7 linked regions of the Macaca fascicularis genome follow. The protein of the gene in region 7 interacts with the protein of the main gene of each other region in a biochemical or structural test. Links are inferred from orthologs where the notes say so. Each region holds a gene or a part of one and is shown on either strand. Other genes may lie near its edges. The genes, in order: CBX3, ZMYND11, ING4, PHF8, CBX5, HDAC1 and H3-4.

The links.
Region 1: the proteins of H3-4 (region 7) and CBX3 interact in a test that uses a peptide from one of them, tested with the Homo sapiens proteins (2 studies listed by BioGRID, with this or other methods). The link is inferred for Macaca fascicularis from reciprocal best matches to the Homo sapiens genes H3-4 and CBX3.
Region 2: the proteins of H3-4 (region 7) and ZMYND11 form a complex in vitro, tested with the Homo sapiens proteins (2 studies listed by BioGRID, with this or other methods). The link is inferred for Macaca fascicularis from reciprocal best matches to the Homo sapiens genes H3-4 and ZMYND11.
Region 3: the proteins of H3-4 (region 7) and ING4 are reported together in a solved structure, tested with the Homo sapiens proteins (2 studies listed by BioGRID, with this or other methods). The link is inferred for Macaca fascicularis from reciprocal best matches to the Homo sapiens genes H3-4 and ING4.
Region 4: the proteins of H3-4 (region 7) and PHF8 form a complex in vitro, tested with the Homo sapiens proteins (2 studies listed by BioGRID, with this or other methods). The link is inferred for Macaca fascicularis from reciprocal best matches to the Homo sapiens genes H3-4 and PHF8.
Region 5: the proteins of H3-4 (region 7) and CBX5 interact in a test that uses a peptide from one of them, tested with the Homo sapiens proteins (5 studies listed by BioGRID, with this or other methods). The link is inferred for Macaca fascicularis from reciprocal best matches to the Homo sapiens genes H3-4 and CBX5.
Region 6: of the proteins of H3-4 (region 7) and HDAC1, one has a biochemical effect on the other in vitro, tested with the Homo sapiens proteins (2 studies listed by BioGRID, with this or other methods). The link is inferred for Macaca fascicularis from reciprocal best matches to the Homo sapiens genes H3-4 and HDAC1.

What each region holds. Positions count from the first base shown.
Region 1 is NC_088377.1:104,099,243-104,102,742, forward strand, and holds part of CBX3 (chromobox protein homolog 3), read right to left. Parts: intron 1,619-3,500; coding exon 1,476-1,618; intron 1-1,475.
Region 2 is NC_088383.1:642,150-645,649, reverse strand, and holds part of ZMYND11 (zinc finger MYND domain-containing protein 11), read right to left. Parts: coding exon 3,450-3,500; intron 2,572-3,449; coding exon 2,299-2,571; intron 2,001-2,298; coding exon 1,815-2,000; intron 1-1,814. UniProt on the Homo sapiens protein: Chromatin reader that specifically recognizes and binds histone H3.3 trimethylated at 'Lys-36' (H3.3K36me3) and regulates RNA polymerase II elongation. Does not bind other histone H3 subtypes (H3.1 or H3.2).
Region 3 is NC_088385.1:7,585,634-7,589,877, reverse strand, and holds the start of ING4 (inhibitor of growth protein 4), read left to right. Parts: upstream 1-1,444; 5' UTR 1,445-1,462; coding exon 1,463-1,499; exon of another isoform or gene 1,500-1,516; intron 1,517-4,244.
Region 4 is NC_088395.1:54,015,629-54,019,614, reverse strand, and holds the start of PHF8 (histone lysine demethylase PHF8), read left to right. Parts: upstream 1-1,186; 5' UTR 1,187-1,436; coding exon 1,437-1,452; intron 1,453-1,996; exon of another isoform or gene 1,997-2,567; intron 2,568-2,957; exon of another isoform or gene 2,958-3,213; intron 3,214-3,509; exon of another isoform or gene 3,510-3,525; coding exon 3,526-3,715; intron 3,716-3,986. UniProt on the Homo sapiens protein: Histone lysine demethylase with selectivity for the di- and monomethyl states that plays a key role cell cycle progression, rDNA transcription and brain development.
Region 5 is NC_088385.1:61,082,268-61,085,346, reverse strand, and holds the end of CBX5 (chromobox protein homolog 5), read left to right. Parts: intron 1-1,041; coding exon 1,042-1,192; 3' UTR 1,193-2,579; downstream 2,580-3,079. UniProt on the Homo sapiens protein: Component of heterochromatin that recognizes and binds histone H3 tails methylated at 'Lys-9' (H3K9me), leading to epigenetic repression. In contrast, it is excluded from chromatin when 'Tyr-41' of histone H3 is phosphorylated (H3Y41ph).
Region 6 is NC_088375.1:202,723,227-202,726,726, forward strand, and holds part of HDAC1 (histone deacetylase 1), read right to left. Parts: intron 1,255-3,500; coding exon 1,142-1,254; intron 1-1,141. UniProt on the Homo sapiens protein: Histone deacetylase that catalyzes the deacetylation of lysine residues on the N-terminal part of the core histones (H2A, H2B, H3 and H4).
Region 7 is NC_088375.1:86,334,956-86,338,884, reverse strand, and holds H3-4 (histone H3.1t), read left to right. Parts: upstream 1-1,129; 5' UTR 1,130-2,281; coding exon 2,282-2,692; 3' UTR 2,693-3,672; downstream 3,673-3,929. UniProt on the Homo sapiens protein: Core component of nucleosome. Nucleosomes wrap and compact DNA into chromatin, limiting DNA accessibility to the cellular machineries which require DNA as a template.

The sequences.
Region 1 (3,500 bases), on a different chromosome or scaffold from region 7:
TTCCTGGTTTCAAGTGATCCTCCAGCCTTGGACCCTCAAAGTGCTGGAATTGCAGGTGTGAGCCACTGCACCCAGGCCCTACATTCTAATTTGAGACTCTAAATTAGTAAATCCAAATTACTGGGTAGAGAACAATAAAAGTCTCTGCTCTGTAATATTATTTTCATTAAAGTCTTCTTGGCTGGGTGTGGTGGCTCACACCTGTAATCCCAGAACTTTGGGAGGTCAAAGCAGGTGGATCCCTTGAGGTCAGGAGTTTGGGATCAGCCTGGCCAACATGGTGAAACCCTGTCTCTGCTAAAATACAAAAATTAGCTGGGCATAGTGGCAAATGCCTGTAGTCCCAGCTACTCGGGAGGCTGAGGCAGGAAAATTGCTTGAACTCGGGAGACAGAGGTTGCAGTGAGCTGAGATCACGCCACTGCACTCCAGCCTGGGCAACAGGGCGAGACTCCGTCTAAAAAAAAAAAGAAAAGAGTCTTTTACATTACTTATTACACTGCACATGGCCAAATGCAGTATAATTTTGCTAGTGGCCTTAAGTTTTGGGAGAAGAAAAAGGGAGGAGCCCATTCATTTCCTAAAGTTTTGCTGGGTAAAAATAATTTTTCATGTTTCATGGGCTTAATAAAGTATGGACTTATGATACATACTTAATTTCAACTAAAAACACTGGAGGATAAAACAGGAAAACGTAAATCTCCCATTCAACTCATATTTCCCAAACTGCTATGAATTAAATGTGAAGAGCAGGGAAAGCACGAGATAACAGATATGTGAAGCCCAATCATTTGACTACCATATGCTCTATCTCCAGCAAGCTCAGGAAATTGATCTCCACCTATCCATTTTTAATTGTCACTGCCTATGGAGCTTTGTGGTGTAACAGGGAAGAATCAAAGCAGATAAGCACAACAAACACCAAGTGTTAAAGTATGTAATTGCTGCATGTTCAAGTTATTCACATTTTGTGAAAATTATCAAGAATCCGTATCAAAGAACACAAGGAACCAGAGAGCTTAAAACAAGCCCAGGCTCTACTTCTTAGGTATTAGGACATAATAAACTTAGTATAAAGCCTAGATTATAGGTAATCCTGTATGAGACCCACTAGTCTATACTATATAGCTTCAATGTTTTTTAGTACCCTCTGTGTGGAGGAAAACAATGCAGATTGTTATAATCAGTATAATATCTAACCACATTAAAATACATTATATAGTAAACTACACTCTATAATTTTACAAATTTGACTCCCCAGGGTAATAAACTAGTCTCTAGTCTGCTCAGCTTCAACTGTACAATAAAGTTTTGGTTCTTTTTAAATAGACTTCAAATAAGATACCTAAATTCAAGGTGTCTTTACATTTAAAGACATCTATGGGAAAGCAGGTAAAAGAGTCAGGTTAAAAACAAATTCTAAAACCACTTAGCTGCAGTCAAACATACAATACAGATGCACTAAAGTTTCTTACTCTGTAAATCCCTTCCACTTCAGGAAATACTCCACTTTCCCATTCACTACACGTCGATCTAGTACTTTTTCCACCACAAATTCTTCAGGCTCTGCCTCTTCAACTTTTTTACTCTTTCCATTCTGTTTTTTCCCCATTTTTTGCTAAAATAAAACAAATGAGAAATTAAGAAATATTCTTCTTGAATTTTGGGTACATTTTCAAGGCTCAATTGCTTACATTATTATTACATTCAACATAAATTTTTACTTTTTACTTCCACATCCCAGGGCAGACAGGGAAAGATTAAAAGTCAACAGACAATAAAATAAAAGAATGCTTTATTTTGTTGATTTAGCTCAAACTTATGACCCACCACCAAAATAATACAATCAAAAACACTATCTGGAAAAATTACTTTTTTTCCAGTCTTTTTTTTTTTGAGACAGGGTCTCTCACTCTGTTGCCCAGGCTGGAGTGCAATGGCGTGATCTCGGCTCACTGCAACCTCTGCCTCCCTAGGTTCAAGCAATTATCAAGCCTCAGCCTCCCAAGTAGCTGGGATTACAGGCACATGCCACCATGCCGGGCTAATTTTTTTTGTATTTTTATTAGAAACGGGGTTTCACCATGTTGACCAGGCTGGTCTCAAACTCCTGACTTCAAGTGATTTTGCCTCCCAAAGTGCTGGGATTACAGGCGTAAGCCACTGCGCCCGGCCCTGTAGTCTTAAAAGACCAAGTTTACTAGAGTTTTCACTCATTTTAACAACACAGCAACTATGCAGGAAGTACTTACAGGGTGATACAGAGAAGAAAATAGTAGTGACAGGTCTTAGGTGAACCAACGACAGACCTAAGAGCCTCCTTCTCAATTCAAATACTAATGTCAAAAGCTTCAATAATACAAATAAAAGGTAAGCGCAGAATGAACACGTGGTTCACAATCCTGATACCAACTGCAAGGTCAACTATGGAGACCACTAGGAGGTTAAAGGACAAGATTATTTTTCCATCTCTGTAGATAATATTTCCTACCACTTAGAACCTATAAAGCTGTCACTTCAAGAGGACAAAAGGGGAGATTTTAATTCTCTAAGGTGAAAAAAATCCTTCCTTCCTGGTTTCTCAAGACAAAGTCTATATTGGTAGCCAACTTCACTTTAAACAGGCATTTTTTTGTATGACACTATTTAAGAGAAGCAGGAAACCAACCTCAATCAGCTCTCTTCAATAGCTCAAGATTTGCTATGAGAGGATTAAAAATGGGGAAAATTTTTATGAGATTAAAAATGCGGGGGAAAAACCCCGAAATGGTTAATCAGAAGATCCTATGGGCAGAGAAGAAATCCACCTTAACATTTCATCTTAAAACAAATGCTACTGCCAGGCGTGGTGGCTCATGCCTGTAATGCCAGCACTTTGGGAGGCTGAGGTGGGCAGATCACCTGATGTCAGGAGTTTGAGACCAGCCTGACCAACATGGAGAAACGCTGTCTCTACTAAAAATAAAAAAGTAGCCAGGCATGGTGATGCATGCCTGTAATCCCAGCTACTTGGGAGGCTGAGGCAGGAGAATCGCTTGAACCCGGGAGGCCGAGGTTGCGATGAGCCAAGATCACGCCATTGCACTCTAGCCTGGACAAGAGAAAAACTGTCTCAAAAAAACCCCCCCACAAAACCAAAAAACCCAAATACTATCAAAAAAAGATAAACCTTAATTGCCCAGTCACTAAAGCCATCCCACAAGTAAAGCAGCAAGCAGAAAAAAGTTAACAGCAACACCTCAAGGCTACAAAAGGACATTTCAAGCTATGCAGGCATATGAAGTGCGCAGACACACATGTAAGAAAGGCCTCAAGACTGCAAAATGACATTTCAAGCTATGCAAGCAAGCATATAGGTAACACACACACACACACACACACACACACACACACACACACACTCCCCTGGAATACAAAAAAATGCAGCAAACACCTGACTTTCTCGGATACCATTTCCAAGTCAGGTCTTATGATTCTCATTAGTCAAGATACTTGAGTAC
Region 2 (3,500 bases), on a different chromosome or scaffold from region 7:
CCTCCCAAGTAGCTGGAGTTTCAGGCACACGCCACCATGCCCGGCTAATTTTTGTATTTTTTGCAGAGATGGAGTTTCATGGTCTCCAGTGATCTGCCTGCCTCGGCCTCCCCAAGTGCTGGGATTACAGACGTGAGCATGGAGCCTGGCCAAGAAGAAAGAATTCTAACCCTTTTACTAGTCTACTAGACCCAATGTGATGAGCACACAAAGCTCAGCTCTGCCAACTGGGTTTTTAATAGGTCTTAAATTCCTCATCTTAGAGTACAAAAATACCCACTTCAGCTATTTCACAAATGGTAAAGTGCTATAAAAGACAGTTTTATAATTATTGCCTCTTCTTCCCATTTTCTTGATTCTTTATTAGTAAACTTAAGAGATTTCTACTCATAAAAATTTTTTAAGAGACAGGATCTTGTTCCATCGCCTAGGCTGGAGTGCAGTGGTGCGATCACAGCTCTCTGCAACCTTGAACTCCTGGGCTCAAGCACTCCTTCTGCCTTGGCCTCCCAAAGCACTGGGACTACAGGCATGAGCGTCTTTGGGTGTTGTGCTTCTGTTATTTTGAGCATACCTTAATTCCTATCTAATGATATTGTGAGAGTTGATCACACAAATTCAGTCATTCTTGTCATACCCAACTAAAACTGAGTTGAGGAGCTGGGGGGAAAAGCACTTGGAACACAAAATGTTGGCTGCAACTCTCAGACTAGTTTTGCCGACTGCCATCCGTCACCAATCAGAGCTTGTCAGCTCCTCAAAACTTTACTAGCACCAATGAAATTTCTTAAAGAATATGGAAATTTTCTTCTTCGGAGAGCACACTTTCACTTGTACTGAAGGCTGTGCCACCCAATGTGCAGGCTGTTTTTTTAACAGAAAATAAAGCTCTCTTTTTTCCTCCACAGATTGCCTGGTCTTTTGTTAACAATATTTATTTTGTTATTCACCACCTCTTCCTACCAAGTTATCTTCATGTATTCTTCTAAATTATATGCTAAGTTTCTCTTTTCCTTCTTGCCAAATCTTTGTCACAGATTTAAAAATATTTCTTTCATGAAGAGTTTATGTGTATTTATATAATATAGGCTGGATAAAATGAAGAATTAAAGTTTATCACAGAACTTTATATAGTCAACTGAAACCAAGTTATGAGCTTTCGGGAGCAAAACTTTTCCCTAATTCACTGAGCACTGTGGCGACTGTAAGATGAGCACTTGGATGCTGTGTACTCAGAAGCTCCCGCTCTGGTGGGGAGGATGAGACTCGCGAGCCGGACATGACGACAAATGACACTAGCTGGTCAGGTATAAGGGAGGGTAGTTAGAGACCAGTGAAATGTCACTACTATAAAGTAAAAATAATTGATTTCTTTAACAAAATCTAATGCATAAATGTTAAGTGCAGGGAAATCGGAAACTCTTTAATTTATTGTGATAATTACATTTATAATTTCACCATTTGGATGTTACCCATCTGAAATCACCAGGTAAAAGTTAGGGCCAGCCAATTTGCCCAAATAAAATATTTGCATAGATGGAGAAATTATATAAGTTAATTGTAATAAATATGTAATAAGGTATTATAATCTCAATTTAACAAAATAATCCTGAGCAGTACACAGTAATACGGGATCTGGGGTTGAGAGATCATAGGACTGTTAATAAAATTTTAAAAACTAAAGCTGACCACTTCACATTTGATCTTATTTCAGAAACATCTTCTGCACGTGCCACAGCTACCTTCTGAATAAACTGGCATCATACCTGTGGTACGTTTTCAGAAATAACAGTCTAAAAAAGACTGGTATTTACCCACTGCTTCTTCTTGGTCTGAGAAATCAGTTGCTTGTGCTGTGTTGCCAGCTTCTTGATTTCTTCTACGAACTCCTCCTTACACTTTTCCTTTACTTGCTTACATTTTCTGTCCATCTCACCCTGCATGTTGGCCACAGCTTTATTTACAGCTTGTCTCTTTTCTTCTTCCATCTCAGAACGCAGCTGGAATGAAAAGACAACCCACAGTAAGAGCGCACGACTTACACAGACCGCCTACAACGGAACAGAAACTTAACACATCGTTCCTACTTGCATGAGGTACCGTTTTCCCCTTCATTACATGTGTAAAAAATTTAGGTGAGAAAAGTATCGTTATTACTTGAAATGCTATAAAAGATACTGGTGTCATTCTATTGCTACATTTAAAAGCTGCTACTGGGTTGCTGCATGAGTAAAAGGAGCCTAACCATGACAGGAGTGCCGGCTGCAGCAGGGCACCCAGTGTGGCGACAAGCATTACCTTCTCCAGAGCTTCTCGGACAACACGCTCTGTCTCCCGCTTGTGGTCCGACTTCATCCGGTCTTTGAAGTCATTGAAGATCTTCGTGTATTTGTCATGGCACATGCTCTGACACACGCCATCACTGGTGGTCTGGGTGCTCCGATGCAGCATTCTTGGTGAAGAGGCACTTAACTTCTTGGTCTGAGTTGACACGGAGACTTTTTCGATTGGCTGAGGCATCGTGGGTATTTCCTGGCTAGAACTTACTGCTTCTGTTTCAGGCTCTGGTTCCTAAAAGGTAAGACAAGAGTTTAGATGCAAAACAAAGCAATATAATTCACTAGTTCAAGAACTACTCTATTAGGCTAAAAATACAGTGATATACGTAAACAGCCATATAATAAACTTCTGTTAAAAAATATGGTTAGGATGGTAGATTTCATGTATATTTTGCCAAAATTTAAAAATAAACAAATCTCCCCCAATCAGTGAATGAAAAGAACATGCAATTAACAACAGCTACAATTAACAACAGCTACAATTACAAACGTAAGCTTCATTTATAATTTTACTTAATACTGTAAGTTTTGTTTTTAAAATAAACATAAAAATTTATAGAATATAAAAAGTATTGTCAACTTATAATCACTTCATTGGACTAGATTCATTAACAAATTTCCTAAAAGTCTAAACCACTTCTCACTGAATATATGTTTGAAATGTGTCCAGATTTACACAGTTTTAAAACATGCAGAGCTTATATCACTTAAAACGGCTGAGCTCAACCACAGTCTCCTTCAAGTTTTCAAATGTTGGCACAACCGATATACTGGATAAATGTGTTGTTTTTAATAATACTTAGGAAAAATATCAGAGCTCCCAGGAAATGTATTAATAGCAACGTGCCCTTCCCACTTAGCCAAGCTTTGGTCAGTGGCTGCTGAATTAAGATGGAGACTTGGAGCATGTATGCTATTCCAGGGTAACAGATAATGACAGGGAAGTCAGAAGACTGGTTTCAGCTTGATGGATATTATTCGATTGACAGCAACTGAATTTCCAAGTATCCACCAAGAGTGATTGTCTTTGAAATACTTGAAAATACAAAATACTCTGAAAATATTTCCTGTTTCATTTGCCACCTGGATACTGCGAGGTGGGCAACTTACTTCCTTTTTGGGCTCCACACTTTGATTACGTCGTCCTTTCTTTGCTCTTGG
Region 3 (4,244 bases), on a different chromosome or scaffold from region 7:
ACTAGCCCTGTAGTGATAGTGCTGCATCACTCGACCCCTTCAGAATTATGATGCTAACATCACATATAAACAAAAGGAAAACAAAAACATGAGGTTTCCCCCTTAGAGAGTAGCAAGAGGTGCCAGGCACAGTGAATCACGCCTGTAATCCCAGCACTTTGAGAGGCTGAGGAGGGCAGATCGCCTGAGGTCGGGATTTCAAGACCAGCCTGACCAACATGGAGAAACCCCGTCTCTACTAAAAATACAAAATTAGCCAGGTGTGATGGTGCATGCCTGTAATCCCAGCTACACGGGAGGCTGAGGCAGGAGAATCACTTGAACCTGGGAGGTGGAGGTTGTGGAGAGATGGCTCCATGATCACGCTATTGCACTCCAGCCTGGGCAACAAGAGTGAAAATTCTGTCTCAAAAAAAAAAAGTAGCAAGAGGGCAACGTCAGAAGTAATATTTTGGCCGGGCGCGGTGGCTCAAGCCTGTAATCCCAGCACTTTGGGAGGCCGAGATGGGCGGATCACGAGGTCAGGAGATCAAGACCATCCTGGTTAACACGGTGAAACCCCGTCTCTACTAAAAATACAAAAAAACTAGCCGGGCGAGGTGGCGGGCGCCTGTAGTCCCAGCTACTCGGGAGGCTGAGGCAGGAGAATGGCGTAAACCCGGGAGGCGGAGCTTGCAGTGAGCTGAGATCCGGCCACTGCACTCCAGCCTGGGCGACAGAGCGAGACTCCGTCTCAAAAAAAAAAAAAAAAAAAAAAAAAAAAAAAAAAAAAAAAAAAAAAAAAGAAGTAATATTTTATATGTGAAAGTATTCGAGTATAAAGTACAGGAGGTCTGACAAAAGATGTGCAGAATTATAGCATTATTGTCATTATTTGTATTTATAAGTAGAAAGTTGATAATCCTTCTCAAGCTTAAAAAATAATGCTGGGGGAGATGGTGTTTGTGTGAGTGAAAAGAAATGCAAAGGGTTTAAATCTCTCAAGGCTTGATACTCTTCCCCAACTTCCTTAAGAAACTAACTGGCTTGAAAAAAGTCATATTCTGCAAAGAGGGAAAAAAAGCTGTATCTTCCAGTCGCTGAGAAGGGATGTTTACGCAATATAAGCCTAAAGTGAACAGTTACCCCTGCACCGATTGCTATACATTCCCGTTTTGGAGGGAAAAAAGTTTGCCCGATAATGCAAAATGGCGACCTTCAGTGACGTCATACCTGTCTCGGTCGCGTCCTGGGGTCTCTGTAAGGGCGGAAGCGGGCTACAGCTGCCTCACTATGGGCGGTCGTGGCTACCATGCAAAAGGAAAAGTTTGAGCGTCGGGCGGATGTGTACCGGCGGTAACATAGTAAGGGCGGAAGTTCTCCTTTTAAGGGCGGAAAGGCTTTAGCCCCAAAATGGCTTCGGACCCTGTCGCGTTATAGTCACTTCCGGGGCGGATCGGAAGTTGCTTTGTTTTGCTTCGAGATGGCTGCGGGGATGTATTTGGAACATTATCTGGACAGTAAGAGCAGGCTGGAGGTGGGGGTCGGGGCTGTAGAGTGGTGCGGGGATCAGGGATGAGAGGATCTGTAGCCCTTAAGTCTCAATGACGAGAAGGTTACAATTGTGAGGGGGTTCTGTGGCAGGAAATATTGGAGGGTGCGGAGAAAGAGGGGGCGGGGCAGCAGGATCGAGGCCCCGCTGTTGGGGGTAGAGGAGGGAGGGGCTGCGGTGTGGGGGTTAGGGACGTGTCTTGAAGGGCTAGTGTGCACGGCCGGGAAGATAATTGCTGCCCCCATTCTCCAGCGTCTCCAGCCTCTGGGTAGATTTTTTTCCTATAGTCGTTCAGAATCGTTATCACCCACTGTCATTTGGAGCAGCGGTGAAGACCCCTCCTCCACCCCATTCTTCCTCAGAAGTGGCTTCTCGTGGGGTTGAGAGTGGTGGTGGTGAGAGTGGTGGTGGTGAGAGTGGTGGTGGTGAGTGACCACTGTCAGATGATGAGCTGGAACGCTTCTCTTCGTGGAGTAAAGATCTAATTCCCATCAAATGAAAATCTGGTGTTATGCCATTTATGTAAACCACCCCTGCACAAAGCCTGTCGCCCTATGCGCTTACATTTGTTTTAGGGCCCGGAGTCATTTATTCAACAAATATTTATTGAGTTCCTACTATGGGTCAGACATAATGGCAGGCACTAGGGATAGAAAAATGGGTAAGACAAGGCCCCTGCCCTCAAGAAGCTCTCGATCTAGAAGGAAACAGATTCTGCAAGTAATTGTAAAACACTGTGACAAGTGAAATAATGGAAATCCATTAAAAAGGACATTTGGTAGGCAACACTGCAGAAAAGGGGGGTAATTACCTGGCGATGTAGGAAAAGCTTTACAGAGGAGGTGATGTTTGAATAGGGTCTTGAAGGTTGTTTGCCAGTGAGGAGAGAAAAAGGGAATTCTAGGTTGGGGAAAGTGTCTGCAAAGGTACTGTGATAGGTTTGTGGCAAAGTCAAGGGTGTTTGATATTTATGACTCAGAGGTCAGCGTATTTAATATTTATGACTCTAAGGTAAGAAATTGAGAAACGAGACTGGAGAAAGAAGCTGAGGCTAGATTGGACAAAGTCTTTTAAGCCAAACTAAGAAGTTTGCATTTTAAAGTACAATGTGATTTTTATAAACGAAAATGACTAATATATGGTACATTGAAGCATGATATCACTGATAACAGAGATCAATTTAGTGATAACATTCCAGGACAGAGATAAGAACCTGATTTTAGGGAGTTATGGAAGTATTTAGGAGTTAAATATGAAAGGACTGCCGGGCGCGGTGGCTCAAGCCTGTAATCCCAGCACTTTGGGAGGCTGAGACGGGCGGATCACAAGGTCAGGAGATCGAGACCATCCTGGCTAACACGGTGAAACCCCGTCTCTACTAAAAAATACAAAAAACTAGCCGGGCGCGGTGGCGGGCGCCTGTAGTCCCAGCTACTCGGGAGGCTGAGGCAGGAGAATGGCGTAAACCCGGGAGGCGGAGCTTGCAGTGAGCTGAGATCCGGCCACTGCACTCCAGCCTGGGCGACAGAGCCAGACTCAGTCTCAAAAAAAAAAAAAAAAAAGAAAGGACTGACTGACTGGGTGGTTGAGAGAGAAGGAAGAATCTAAGGTGGCTTCTTGCTGCTTAGAAAGTGAGGTAGACAGGCTGGGCACAGAATCTTATGCTTGTAATCCCAGCACTTTGGGAGGCCAAGGTGGGCAGATCACTTGAGGTCAGGAGTTTGAAACCAGCCTGGCCAACATGGTGAAACCAGTCTCTATTTAAAAAAAAAAAAAAATTTATCTGGGCATGGTAGCATGTGACTCTAATCCCAGCTACTTGGGAGGCTGAGTCAGGAGAATCACTTGAACCCAGGAGGTGAAGATTGCAGTGAGCCAAGATCATACCACTGCACTCCAGCCTGGGCGACAGAGAGAGACTCTGTGTCCCTCTTAAAAAAAAAAAAAAAAAAAAAAAGGCCGGGCGCGGTGGCTCAAGCCTGTAATCCCAGCACTTTGGGAGGCCGAGACGGGTGGATCACGAGGTCAGGAGATCGAGACCATCCTGGCTAACACGGTGAAACCCCGGCTCTACTAAAAAATACAAAAAACTAGCCGGGCGAGGTGGCGGGCGCCTGTAGTCCCAGCTACTCCGGAGGCTGAGGCAGGAGAATGGCGTGAACCTGGGAGGCGGAGCTTGCAGTGAGCTGAGATCTGGCCACTGCACTCCAGCCTGGGCGACAGAGCGAGACTCCGTCTCAAAAAAAAAAAAAAAAAAAAAAAAAAAAAAAAAAAAAAAAAAAAACTTGTGGCCAGGCCAGGTGGCTCACGCCTGTAATCCCAGCACTTTGGGAGGCTGAGGCGGGCGGATCACGAGGTCAGGAGATCGAGACCAGCCTGGCTAACACAGTGAAACCCCGTCTCTACTAAAAATACAAAAAAATTAGCTGGGCGTGGTGACGGGCACCTGTAGTCCCAGCTACTCAGGAGGCTGAGGCAGGAGAATCGCTTGAACCTGGGAGGCGGAGGTTACAGTGAGCCACTGCATTCCAGCCTGAGCAACAGAGTTAGACTCCGTCTCAAAACAAAAACAAAAAGGCTGGGAGTGGTGGCTCACGCCTGTAATCCTAGCACATTGGGAGGCTGAGATGAGTGGATCACCTGAGGTCAGGAGTTCAAGACCAGCCTGGCTAACATGGTGAAACCGTCTTTACTAAAAATACAAAAATTAGCT
Region 4 (3,986 bases), on a different chromosome or scaffold from region 7:
GGCGTGAGCCACCACGCCTGGCTGTTTTTTTTCTTAAAGATGTCTCACCCTTCCTCCCCCAAACCATATAAGCTTCAGGTCCCATTAAACCTGGACCTTTCAGTGCAGTGGCTCAGGCCTGTAATCCCAATGCTTTTAGAGGATCTCCTAAAACCAGGAGTTTGAGACCAGCCTGGGCAATATAGCGAGGTCTGGGCTCTACAAAAAATCAAAAATAACCGAGTGTGGTGGTATGCGCCTATAGTCCCAGCTACTCAGGAGGCTCTGGCGGAAGGATTGCTTGAGTCCACGAGTTCTAGGGTGAAATGAGCTATGATCGCCCAGCCTGAGTTGACAGAGTGAGACCTTGTCTCTAAAATAAACATTTAAAAAAAAAAAAAAAAAAAAACAACCCTAAACCATCCTCTGGGTAAGTCACAAATATGAGACTCAGCTACTCCTGCTCAAATACCTTCTTTTCTTTTTACTAACTGCATACAATCTAAACTCTTTTGCATTTCGCAATCTTTCATGTTTTGACCCTTTACTGTTTGACCTCCTACCTATCTCTCTTCTGTTCTCCTTGTTCCAACAATATTCAACTTTTAGTAAATATTTTTCTATGTGCCTCCATGCATTTGTACACGTTGATCCTTTTGAGTACAATGTTCTCGCTTGTTTATTTAAGTGAACTTATATTCTCCATGTCTCCCTGCCGTCTTTCTTACAGCAGCTGCAAGCGGTTTGTAAGGCTCTTTTGTAGCTTCGTGTTGCATTTTGCAAAGGTCATTTTGCAGGTGGTATTTGTGAGCTTGCTGCGCCTTCTATTCCATTGTTTACTCGCAACTTTGTTTCCTGCACTGGCAGATGCCCTCCCACTCCAGAGGCCCTGTTTTCACCATTGCATCCCCAGGGCCTAACCCACCATCACTGGTTAGTAAATTGTGTGCACGCACACATTTATTTTTTAAAGCAATGGGACCCTTTAAGAAAATGAAATAGTAAGATAACTCCTAGATAATTTTCTAGAATGTTTGGGAAAACCTAGGCCATCTTGAAGCATATGTATGAAGCTCCACTAACTCAGCAAAGCTCCACTAACTCAGCCTTTCCTCTCATCCCCTATCCCCTCCCCTCAGGCTATAGTCAGAAAATTGTGGGACAGGTGCAAACAAATCCTTGAACTGTATTTGAACTGAAGTGAAACAGTAGGGTCAAAGAAGAGTTCAGAGGGAGTTGTGGAGTTGGCAGCGCTTTACAGAGGAACTACACTGAGGGCCTGAGGACAGAACGCGGGTAGCACAGGGCGCAAGGTTCAACGTCCCTGCTCTGGGACTCAAGTCACTTGGCTTCTCGAGGCCCCTGCCTTCATTTGGTGATAATCACAGAGCTTCCTTCACAGGGGTAAGAACAACGCAGAGACCGTGGGAAAGAGCCCAGCCCGCCGAAGGTGCTCAATGATCAGGAGCCGCGGTGAGTACTCCGCCTCTACCCCGGCTGAAGCCCGCCCCCGCCGTCACCTATTAATTTTGTAGTTTGGAGTCACCGAGTTCACCTCCTCTCATAGGAGGAGTAAGGCTGGGGAGGAGGAGTGTGCGAGTCGGGGTAGCTTAACTCCCTGTTTGCCCGGAGGAGGGGGAAGGCTAGGAAGTTTCGGGCCCCACTCAAAATGGAGCCAAACGTCTGCCTCGCCTAAGATGGCGGCTTCTCCGCCTCTGGGCTCAAGGTCTTCAGCGGCGATTGGGCACCTTAAAGAGACTAGCGGGTCCAAAGGTGGCTGAGAACCGCCCTCCTTTCTCAAGGTGGCGCCCCGCCCCCTGGCGGCGTCACCCGGGAGCCGGCGGCTCGCGGTTCCCCGCCTCCGCCGCGCTCACCTCGCGAGCCCAGCCCTCATAAGATGGCGGTCAAGCCTTGGCTCTGTGGGTAGCGCCGCCACTCTCAACATGGTAGATGTTTACCCCGTATTTCTCCTCCCCTCTCCGCTTCAACTTCCTCGTTGCTTTGAATAAACTTTATTGACTACTCCGAATTGCCTACCACCGCCACTGGGCTTCTCCCAACGACTTTTCGGGCCGTGTGCCTCGGACGTGGCGGCCGGTTCATCTCTTTCCCCGTTGGTTTGCTCGCGACTATCTCCTGCTGGCCCAGCGACGACGCCACTTGCCCGTTCGCCGGGCGGCCGCCAGACTAGGCCCAAGCCGCGGTCTCCAGTAGGCCCGAACGGCCGGGCCGAGGGGAATGTTGTGGAGGAGGCTGCTCTGAAGTACCGTCGGGCGACTGGCGACGCGCGACCCAGCAGGGGGCTCCAGGGGAAGGCGAGCGAGGTTCCCGGCGGTACGGGGACTATCCCAGAATTCGACGCGCGCCGCCGTAGGGGCCGGAACTACCGGACGAGCCTCCGCTGAGGCGCCTCGCCGTCCCGGAGCTAGCCCGGCTGCCGGCGTGTTGCGGGGACTGAGCTCTGCGGGCGTGGAGTCCTTGCAGCCCAAAGCATGAGGAGGTCCCTGTAGGATTCTGGACCGAAGACGTTCTTGTCAGGTTTGGGGCGTGAGGAGGTTCCTGTCAGTTGGGGAAGCGTTAAGATTCCTGTAAGTTTTGGGGGCTGCGAGGGTATTACTGTCAGTGTTAGGATATACCGTGAGGTACCTGAACATTTGTGGGGACTAGGGAGCTCTCATCAGTTTGAGGGGGCTGCAAGGAAACCGTGGCAGTTCCGAGCGATGCAAAAGAATCCTTGCCTAGTTTCAAGAGTGTGAGGAAACTCTAGTCAGTTTGAGGGGTTTTGAATAGATCCTTTTGAGTTTCAGGGATGCAACCAGAAGCCTGTCATCTTGAAAGTACAAAACGAGCTGGTCAGTTTAGAGATTTCTATTTATTTCAGTTTTGGGCGTGACGAGACTCCTGACTGGTCGGGGAAGGAATGATACTGAGAGTGACGGAAAGGATTATTTAAACTCTCGGAACACGACCCCAGAACTGTGATTTGAGTTGGGCGTCTAGTCTTGTCTGTCTTGTTCGTGGAGGCTTTGAGTAACCTGAAGAGACTTTCGGGGATCCCTTATTTCTCTCTGGTTGGCCCTGTTTCGGGGGGTGAGAGGAGGGTCTTGTCTGGCGATACCCCCAGCCTCATTTTTGAGGCTGTGGTTTGCGTCATAATAAAGGGAGCCTTGTGAAACGGGTCAGCTAGGAGAGGGTTCAGTGAGAGATGAAAGAAGCTTCCCGAAAAGGCTTCAGGTATTTTCCTGAAACCCGGAAAGAAGTTATCACTGACTCCGGGGCGAAGAAGGTCGGGGGTGGGGGGTGGGGGGTGGGGGGTGGGGGGTGGGGAGGGTGGGGGCGGTGGAAAGCCTGGAAGGTTGAGCGCCGTTCTTTACGTGTGAAAGAAATTCTAAAGGCCGGGTGGACTTTCTCTGGTTGCCCCCTACAGCCGCACCAGCTGTGTTGCATCCCGGCGGCGGTAACTCTCTATTGGGGAACTGAGGGTTGGTGCAAGGGGGTGGGGGGCGGGGGCTGATTCACTCTGTAAAAAGTGTTGTTTGTGCCTAGCCATCGTCCAGAGAGGACGCGTGCTGCCGCCTTCCGCCCCTCTTGACACGACGAACCTGGCCGGCCGCACAACGCTCCAGGGCCGAGCGAAGATGGCCTCGGTGCCGGTGTATTGCCTCTGCCGGCTGCCTTACGATGTGACCCGCTTCATGATCGAGTGTGACATGTGCCAGGACTGGTTTCATGGCAGGTAAGGAGGGCAGGCCAGGCTACACAGGGTGCGGTGGCCAGGTATGTTCACTTGCTCTCTCTTCCTTTTTCAGCTCTGTTTTTAGATTCCGGCTCAGAACCCCCTCTCCCAGACTCAGGTTCTGCCATTTCTCCTTGCAGACCAGGACCTAGCTGACATTAGCCTCTGGTTTCTCCTTTTCCTGTGTTTTCCCCTATGTATTTCATCTTTGCACCTTTCTTTTGAGTGTTTTTTTTTTTAGATTTATAAGACCCCCCCCCTTTTCTTTGTG
Region 5 (3,079 bases), on a different chromosome or scaffold from region 7:
GTTACTTACGATTTACATTAACATTAATTAGCTTTTTCCACCGTAGTCCATATTTGAGTATCTGCTCCAATAAGGTGGTAATTTTTCTTGTCCACATCTCAGGATAATTTTATTTTGTTTTTTATTATTTATTTATTTTGAGACAGGGTCTCGCTCTGTTGCCCAGGCTGGAGTTCAGTGGTTCGATCTCAGCTCACTGCAACCTCCACCTCCTAAGCCCAAGTGATCCTCCCACCTCAGCCTCCCAAGTAGCTGGGACCACAAGTGTGCACCACCATGCCTAGCTAATTTTTGTATTTTTTGGTAGAGATGGGTTTTGCCATGTTGCCCAGGCTGGTCTCGAACTCCTGGGCTCAAGCGATCCACCTGCCTCAGCCTCCCAAAGTGCTAGGATTACAGGCGTGAGCTACTGTGCCTGGGCTTCTCAGGATAATTTTAATTTTTTAAAAACTGATTTGGAATCATGTTTAAGGAACCATGTGGCTAGATTTTTTTGTTATACTTGGTAGTAGAGGTTGTGTAACTGAGATAATTGAAATTTGTAGCTAAATTTTTATTTGCTTGTTGTTCCAATCCACAGTTCTGACCAGAGGGGTAATAAGTATTTAAACAGACACAAAGTGAGGAGGGTTAAGACCTCTTCACTTAGATGATCTGGAAACTGGATTGACCAACCTGTGTATAATTGACTTATGCATAATTAATAGAGCTGAATGTAGGTTTGATTGGGTTCACTCACATGCTTGTATTCACAAATAAAAATTTTGGAAGCAGATTAATATTATTTATCATTCAGCTTTTTAACCTAAGCCTACCATGGTTTACATCTAAATTCTAGCTACAGACATCTGTTTCTGTATATTAGGTATTAATCCATTTACTTAAATTTCTTCTTGAAAATATTGAAAGGGTCCTTTTCACCTTGAAACCAAGGTGAGGAGGAAATCAAGTCAATTAAATCCGTATAATGACATAAACTTACGTCTGGACAGATTCTTTCACTCTTCCTCTCCTTTTAAATCTCATATTATTTCTCTCCAGGAAAGACACAGATGAAGCTGACCTGGTTCTTGCAAAAGAAGCTAACGTGAAATGTCCACAAATTGTGATAGCATTTTATGAAGAGAGACTGACATGGCATGCATATCCTGAGGATGCGGAAAACAAAGAGAAAGAAACAGCAAAGAGCTAAAGGAGGGGATGGTCTCTGTCATTTCTCTTTGTACATAATACATTCACCTCCCTGCCTCCTCTCCCTTCTACCCACCCCTTTCTATCCTAAACACATCCATAAAAAATGTGCTTATCACTGTGCTCCACAGGAGAAATGTTGGTATTGGTTCTCTTGTAACATAACTGATGGTCTGATTAATGATGAGTGTCTCTCTGTGAAGACCAGGCATTTACATACTGAGTGTAATACCCACAATTTTTTTTTCCTTTGCCCTGATCTCTTCCTTCTGCTCCCCTGTGACCTCAAGATGAGTTTTAACTTTTTAATCACCTTAGAGTCTTGATTTTTAGATTGGGGGATTTTGTCACAATGATGTTGAATTTTGGTTTCTTGCTTTGGTTCTTAGAACATGTTGCTGACTAGCTGGCCTTTGTTCTGACATGTTGAGATGGAAAGGATGTTGCCCGTCTGTTAAAAAGCCAATAGCAACTGCCTACCTGTTGGGGCTTTCCCAACCTTGTTCAGCTCTACCCAGGAGAATACAGGGTTTCTGGTGTGGTCTTCTGGGCCACCCTCTGTTGTTCATCCTCACTTATCCTCCCAGAATTACTCCATCCTTTGGAAGATTTGAAATTTTACACTGAAATTTGTCAAGACACTCTTTTTAGCCCCAGGACTTTTGGTCTTGCTTTTAGCACTCTCCACTTCTGCTTCTGTAAAGTGATATCAATTTGTGATAAAATGACAAGATTATTAACTGTGGAGATTTTTAGCTATAGTACATGAGGATGATGGGGTAGGGTACAATTGTCTTTATTATCACATATGGTATGTATGTATGATTTCTTTCCATTCCTCATATTTAGACTGTATATTTATGTAGGTGTGAGTGTTTGCCTGGTGCTTGCTTGTGCCAAGGTGCTAGGCACCCTCCAAGCCTGCCAACTTTTGTGGCCTCCCAAAGCATTCCTGTTACCAAAGAGGCTTCAAACCTGACCCTCACTTCTCAGTGGACCCGAGTTTCCCTTCCATGCCATTATTTTCAGTGGGGAAGTTTTAGAGGTGAGCTGTTGGCCACAATATCAATTTTAAGTATTCATAGCAGTTAAAAGTCTCTTGCATTCTTGGCTCCTGGATTTACCACCAAGAGTCCCCAAAATATTAATGCTCTTCCCTTTTTCTACCCTCAAACTTATAGTTGTATCTTATTTTTTAAAATGAATTTTCATGGCCCGGCACAGTGGCTACCACCTGTAATCCCAGCACTTTGGGAGGCTGAGGCAGGAGAATTGCTTGAAGCCAGAAGTTTGAGACCAGCCTGGGTAATGTAGTGAGACCCCTGTCTCTAAAAAATATAAATAAATAAAAATAAAGGCATGTTCCTAAAAGACTATCACCTTGGAAAGTGACAGGCCCTGGCATTATTAGCATGTTGACACAACCTTTTCTCCTTACTCAGCAAAATATTTCCTTTTGGTTTCTTCTTGTGTTGCTATTATATTGAGAAATTTGTCTGATCATATCCTTCTGCCTTTGTCCCCCAAGAAATGTCCTACTTTATCCTTTTCTTTTTGTGGTTGAGGAGGGCTAGAGAATCACAATTAGAAGTAAGGAAATAGCAGGGTTTTGAGGACCCTTGCCCCAGCCCCAAAGCTGAGGAAATAAGAATAAATGCTTAATATAGCCTTAATTCTAGAGTGCACCAGCCATGAGGCTGCTTTTCTTGTTGCTTTTGATTTTTAAAACATACAGCTGTCTGGCCAGGAGCATCCACCATTTCTAGATTATTCAGAGTAATGAGGGGAATGGATGGATTGCTCCAGTCCACAGATGAGCCACATAATATGCAAATCATATACCCATTCATAGCATTTGTTAACATTGCTTCCCTGCTCAGCTGCTGAT
Region 6 (3,500 bases), about 120 Mb from region 7:
GTGCAGGCCAGCATGCCAGCTAATTTTTTTTTTGTATTTTTTGTAGAGACAAGGTTTCTTGGGAGATTTTACATAATAATCTGGATTTCCAGCATCTCTTTAAAAACTCGAAGATCGGCCTCCCAAAGTGCTGGGATTACAGGTTTTTTGAGACAGGGTCTCACTCTGTCTCTCAGGCTGGAGCACAGTAGTACAATCACGGATCACTGTAACCTCTGCTTCCCAGGCTCAAAATGATCCTCCCACCTCAGCCTCCTAAGTAGCCGGGACCACAGGCACTTGCTACCATGCCCGGCTACTTTTTTGTAAAGACGAGGTCTTGCCATGTTGACCAAGTTGGTCTCGAACTCCTGGGCTCAAGCAATCTGCCCATCTCGGCCTCCCAAAGTGCTAGTATGACAGGCATGAGCCACTGCACCTGGCTTTGTTTTTTTGTTTTGTTTTGTTTTTGAGATGGAGTCTCGCTCTGTCACCCAGGCTGGAGTGCAGTGGTGCGATCTCAGCTCACTGCAAGCTCTGCCTCATGGGTTCACACCATTATCCTGCTTCAGCCTCCCGAGCAGCTGGGACTACAGGCGCCCGCCACCATGCCCGGCTAATTTTTTGTATTTTTAGTAGAGACAGGGTTTCACCGTGTTAGCCAGGATGGTCTCAATCTCCTGACCTCGGCCTCCCAAAGTGCTGGGATTACAGGCGTAAGCCACCATGCCCAGCCTAGCTTTTTTTTTAAGACAGAGTCTTGCTCTGTCCCCCAGGCTGAAATGCAGTGGTGCAATCATAGCTCACTGCAGCCTCGACCTCCCAGGCTCAAGCAGTCTTCCCACCTCAGCCTCCCAAGTACCTGAGACCACAGGCACACGCCACCATGGCCAAATTTTGTTGTAGAGACAGGATTTCCCTATGTTGCCCAGGCTGGCCTAGGACTCCTAGGTTCAAGTGATCCTCCTGCCTCCACCTCCTGAAGTGCTGTGATTACAGGCGTAAGCCACCATGCCCAGCCAAAAATCTTTATCATTTATTGTACCTGCCTTGTAACAGCAGTCAACATGTAAATGAGTGGTGGAGAAAATGAGATAATGAATGGCATATAGGGAACCAGAGCAGATGCAGTTAGGGAATAATAGCACATATGGTAACTCACATAGATTTCCATTTTTCGGTAGAGACCATAGTTGAGCAGCAAATTATGAGTCATGCGGATTCGGTGAGGCTTCATTGGGTGGCCTTGTCCGTAGTAGTAATTTCCAACATCCCCTGAAGAAGAGACAGTGACAGCTTCACGAAACGGTTAGACATACACTCCCAGGAGAACCCAGGAATTTTTTTTTTCTTTTTTTTGAGATGGAGTCTCGCTCTGTACCCAGGCTGGAGTGCAATGGTGCTATCTCGGCAGCTCTCTGCAACCTCCGCCTCCCAGGTTCAAGCAATTGTCCTGCCTCAGCCTCCTAAATTGCTGGGATTACAGGTGCGTGCCACCAAACCCAGCTAATTTTTGTATTTTAGTAGAGGTGGGATTTCACCATGTTGGCCAGGCTGGTCTCAAACTCCTCACCTCAAGTGATCCTCCCACCTCAGCCTCCGAAAGTGCTAGGATTATTTTATATCTGAATTATTTACATGACTATATCCACAAGACTGGGTACCCCTTGAAGGCAAGGATTAATATGCCTTGTATATCACAGAGGCTCAATAAAGATTCAATGAATTGAATTGAGTCTCAGAGAAGTTAAGTGCCTGCTCAAGATCACACAGCTAATGAATGATCTGGAGCCCACTCTTCTGACTCCAAATCCAATATGCTAAAAGCTACATTGGGTTTCTTTTTCTTTTTTTTTTTTCTTTTTTTTTTTTTAGACAGTCTCACTCTGTTGCCCAGGCTGGGGCGCAGTGGCACAATATCGGCTCACTGCAGGCTCTGCCTCCTGGGTTCATGCCATTCTCCTGGCTCAGCCTCCCAAGTAGTTGACACTACAGGCGCCCTCCACCACGCCCGGCTAATTTTTTGCATTTTTTTTTTAGTAGAGACAGGGTTTCACTGTGTTAGCCAGGATGGTCTCGATCTCCTGACCTTGTGATCCACCCGCCTCAGCCTCCCAAAGTGCTGGGAGTACAGGCATGAGCCACTGTGCCCGGCCCTACACTGGGTTTCTCAGGTACCTACTTTAGTTTGCACTTAATCTAGAGGGCCCTATAAATCTACCTGGTAGAAAGTTCCTTGAACACTGTTGCAAAATCAAGTGAACTATACACCCAAAGATCTCTCCTTAGAGGTTTATTAGCTTGAGGCAGAGCTTTCGCCACCCAGTGAAAAAAAGGCATGAGCCTTGATCCCTAGCAACTCCCTTGCCTATCAAGCCTGCATCCAGTCAAGGCTCAGACCTGGAGGACTAAGATACCTTATCCAGAAGGGTAAGGGAGTACCTGAGGTGAGGGTAGTCAGGGTGGGGCTCTGAGACACCATCCTTTTCTTTTTACGTTTTTTTGTTTGTTTGTTTGATGTTTTTGTTTGTTTGCTTGTTTGTAGAGATGGCATCTTGCTTTGTTGCCCAGGCTGGTTTCAAACTCCTGATTAGCCTTCTAAAGTGCTGGAATTACAGATGTGAGCCTCCAATAGTGCAGGCCAACCATCCTTTTCCTAAGTTTTTAATTAGTTTGCCAACCGTGCTGTGTGTATTCCTATACACATTGACAAATGCTATGACAGGGTGGTACGGAGCATGAGGGGTACTGTCCACTTCCTTAGAATTCCACCCTGGATCCTCTTCTATATAACTTCTTGAGTGACTGCATCCTTCATGACTAAATTTACTATAATTAAAATAAAGACATATCTCTATATCTTAATCAGGTTGCTGAGAGACTTTAAAAGAAATTGTCCTTTTTATTTAGGTACGACTTAATTTTTATTTTTATTTTTGGAGACAGAGTCTCACTCTGTCACCCAGGCTAGAGTTCAGTGGTGCGATCTCAGGCTCACTGCCTGCCGGGTTCAAACAATTCTCCTGCCTCAGCCTCCTGAGTAGCTGGGATTACAGGCATGTGCCACCACGCCTAAGTTTTGTACTTTTAGTAGAGTCAGGGTTTCACCATGTTGGCCAGGCTGGTCTCAAACTCCTGACCTCAAATGATCCACCCACCTTGGCCTCTCAAAGTGCTGGGATTACAGACGTGAGCCTGGCGCCAGCCATACTTTAAACTCTTAAAGAGCTTTCCCATCATTGTTCTCATAATAGGAACTCCTATCATTTTGATTTTATAGGAGAGTAATCTGAAATGTAAGGTGACTTGCCTAGTATTGCAAAGCTTCTCAATGGCAGAGCCAAATCTGAGTCCCAAAGTAATGACCTCACTGCAAAACTCGGTTTCTCGAGTAAGATGTCTATTCCCAGCCGGGCATGGTGGCTCAGCCTGTAATCCCAGCACTTTGGGAGGCCGAGATGGGCGGATCACGAGGTAAGGAGATCAAGACCATCCTGACTAACACGGTGAAACCGGTCTCT
Region 7 (3,929 bases):
TAGGAAGATAAGGGTTAGTTTAATAAAGTTTGTTTGTATAGATTTCTCTTGGCTTCTGTCTTAGTCTGTTTTGTGTTGTTAAAGGAATACCTGAGACTGGATGATTTATTGGAAAAAAAAAAAAAAGGTATTGGCTTATGGTTTCCCAGGCTGTACAAGAAGCACGGTGGCTGGGTGCAGTGGCTCACACCTGTAATCCCAGCTACTCGGGAGGCTGAGGCAGGAGAGTTGCTTGAACTTCCCGGGAGGCGGACGTTGCAGTGGGCTGAGATCACACCACTGCACTCCAGCCTGGGCAACAGGGTGAGACTCAGGTCAAAAAAACAAAAAAAGCACGGTGGCCCAGCATGGTGGCTCAAGCCTGTAATCCTAGCACTTTGGGAGGCCAAAGTCGGGGGATCAGTTGAACTCAGGAATTCAAGACCAGCTTGGTCAACATAATGACAGCCCATCTCTCCAAAAAATTTAAAAATTAGCTGGATGTGGTCCCAGCTACTTGGGAGGCTGAGGTAGGAGGGGCCTGGGCAACAGAGCAAGACTGAAAAAAGAAGGAGAGGAGGGGAGGGGAGGGAAGAAGATAAAAAGAAAGGAAAGGAAGGAAGGAAGAAAGGGAGCGAAGAAGGGAGGGAGGGAGAGAGAAAGGAAGGGAGGGAGGGAGAATGGAAGGAAGCAAGTATAGGGCCCACCTCTGCTTCTGGTGAGGGCCTCTGGCTGCTTCTGCTTATGGTGGAAGGTGAAGGGGAACCCATGTGTGTGCAGAGGTCACAGGACTGCACAAGAGAGGAAGCCAGAAAGAGAGGGGAGGGGAGTGCCAGGCTCTTTTCAACAACCAGCTCTTCAGGGAACCAACAGAGTGAGAACTCACCCTAAAGGAGGGCAGGACTCTATTCAGAGGGTGACACCTCCAGGACCCACACACCTCCCACTGAGCCCCGGCTCCAACTTTAGGGATCAAATTTCAGCTTCAGAGTTGGAGGAGATTTGGAAGCTTCCACCTTCTGGTCCTTGATGATAAGAACGTTCCCTTCCTTTTACTATAAGAACATCTTTCATAGGGGAATTCTATTTCTTGCCTTTAAGAAACAACAAGAAACTCAGAATGATCTTCCTACACCTGCCTCTATTTTTTTTTTTTTTTAAGTGCCTTTATCTCAAAAGAGTTAATATGCCAGAAAGGCATATCTTTACCTTCTTCAGCATCCTAAGGCTCATCTGAGCCATACAGCAAAGGGAGTTCTTTGCAGGTCATAAAAAGTGGAAGATTCCTTTAACTCTGGTTGGATCCCAGAGCTGTATCACTGTGTAAAAGTGGAATGCCGGCTGGGCGCGGTGGCTCACGCCTGTAATCCCAGCATTTTGGGAGGCTGAGGCAGGTGGATCACGAGGTCAGGAGATCGAGATCATCCTGGCTAACATGGTGAAACCCTGTCTCTACTAAAAATACAAAACAAAATTAGCCGGGTGTGGTGGTGGGCGCCTGTAGTCCCAGCTATTTGGGAGGCTGAGGCAGGAGAATTGCCTGAACCCTGGAGGCGGAGCTTGCAGTGAGCCGGGATTGCGCCACTGCACTCCAGCCTGGGTAACAGAGCGAGACTCCGTCTCAAAAAAAAAAAAAAAAAGTGGAATGCCAGCTGGGCCTGGTGGCTCATGCCTGTAATCCCAGCACTTTGGGAGGCCGAGGCAGGTGGATCACCTGAGGTCAGGAGTTTGAGACCAGCCTGGCCAATATGGTGAAAACCCATCTCTTTGTGGTGGATACCTGTAATCCCTGTAATCCCAGTTACTTGGTAGGCTGAGGCAGAAGAATCGCTTGAACCTGGGAGGTAGAGGTTGCAGTGAGCAGAGATCGCGCCATTGCACTCCAGCCTGGGCAACAAGAGTTAAACTCCATCTCAAAAAATTTTTTAAAAATTAATTTTTAAAAAAAGTGGAATGCCACATGCTGGCTTTCGGAAGGCTCTTCCCACCCAAGTCATGAGGAAGGGAGAAGAGGATTGCTGAGGAGACACGAGGAAGCTTGTGCTGGAGAGAGATGATCTCCACCGCCGTGGCCTACCCGCATCAACCCTTCACAATGCTGGTGCTAGCTCTGGTGGCCACGACCAACAAGCACTAATATAAGGGAGAGGCGGCCGAGTGGCGTGCCCTGTGGACCAATCAGAGAGTAGGGGGCCATCACGCCACCTGAGGCCAGCCAATGAAAACGCGGCAAGCTCTATAAAAGCGGGCAATCAGCTGAGGTCTGGTCAGAGGACACGGCAGAGACAACAGTTTCAAATTCATGGCCCGAACCAAGCAGACTGCGCGCAAGTCGACGGGTGGCAAGGCGCCACGCAAGCAGCTGGCCACTAAGGTGGCTCGCAAGAGCGCACCCGCCACTGGCGGCGTGAAGAAGCCGCACCGCTACCGACCTGGCACAGTGGCGCTTCGCGAGATCCGCCGCTACCAGAAGTCCACTGAGCTGCTAATCCGCAAGCTGCCCTTCCAGCGGCTGGTGCGCGAGATCGCTCAGGACTTTAAGACCGACCTGCGCTTCCAGAGCTCGGCCGTGATGGCGCTGCAGGAGGCGTGCGAGTCTTACCTGGTTGGGCTGTTCGAGGACACCAACCTGTGTGCCATCCACGCCAAACGGGTCACCATCATGCCCAAGGACATCCAGCTGGCACGCCGTATCCGTGGGGAGCGGGCCTAGGAGGGCCATCTCGCCACCTGAGAGGTTGCGCAACGTTCACCCCAAAGGCTCTTTTAAGAGCCACCCACCTGGTCGGAAGAGTTGCTGTAGCAAGCCAGGCTCTTGGGTTTTGGGGGTTCCTTCCGCTGGCCGGTGCTGGCTTACCTAATTCTGATTAGGGTGGGAGGCTGGCGAATCCTGTGTTCACCCTGTCCAGTTAGGAGGCCAGCTACTCATGCGCGTTACCTCCCAGCCTGTCTCCAGTTACAAGTCCAGCTAGTCGTGTGTGGTGCTAACTTGGTCTATCCCTTTAGATAAGAATCATGGTTGGTCTGTTTGGGGACGGGGTGTTGAGGGTAGCGTAACTGGCCTATCTCCAGTTAGGTAAGCAACCCCAGCTAGTTGTGTCAACTCAGCCTATCTACAGTTAGGTTGGAAGGCTGGCTGGTCTTGTGTGTTCTCAGCTCAGCCTCTTTCAAACTGTTACAAGTCCTGCGTGTGTGTGTGTGTGTGTGTACACACAGCTTCTTTCCAGTGAGGTTACCAGTCCAGCTAGTCTCCTACCTAGACAGCCTGTTAAGGCCAGCAAGTAGTATGTGTTATCTTGGCCTATTTTCAGTTAGAAGTCCAGCTACTTCACCAGCGTGGCAGCTCAGGTCTGTAATCCCAGCACTTTGGGAGGCCAAGGCGGGTGGATCACCTGAGGTCAGGAGTTCCAGACCTGCCTGGCCAACATGGTGAAACCCCATCTCTACTAAAAAGACAAAAATTAGCCAGGTGTGGTGGCACATGCCCGTAATCCCAGCTACTTGGGAGGCTGAGGCAGGAGAACTGCTTGAACCCAGGAGACAGACGTTGCAGTGAGCCAAGATCATGCCACTGCACTCCAGCATGGGCAACAGAGCGAGACTCAGTCTCAAAACCAAAAAAAAAAAAAAAAAAAACAAAGTCCAGCTACTTGTGTGTGTTAACTCAGCCTACCTCCTGTTAATTTAGAAAGCTGGCTAGTTGTATATCTTGTTAACTTGGGCTATCTCCCATTAGGTTAGAAGGCTGGCTAGGGGTGTGTGTGTGTGTATGTGCGCACGTGCACGTGTGCCCATGTGCACACACATATGTAGCTGTGATGTTGGCCCATCTCCAGTTAGAAGTCCACGTCATTGTATGTGTTAACATACCCAATCTCCCATTCAGTTAAAAGGCTGGCTAGTCATGTATGTTGTTAATTCACCCTATCTTCTGTTAGGGTAGATGACTA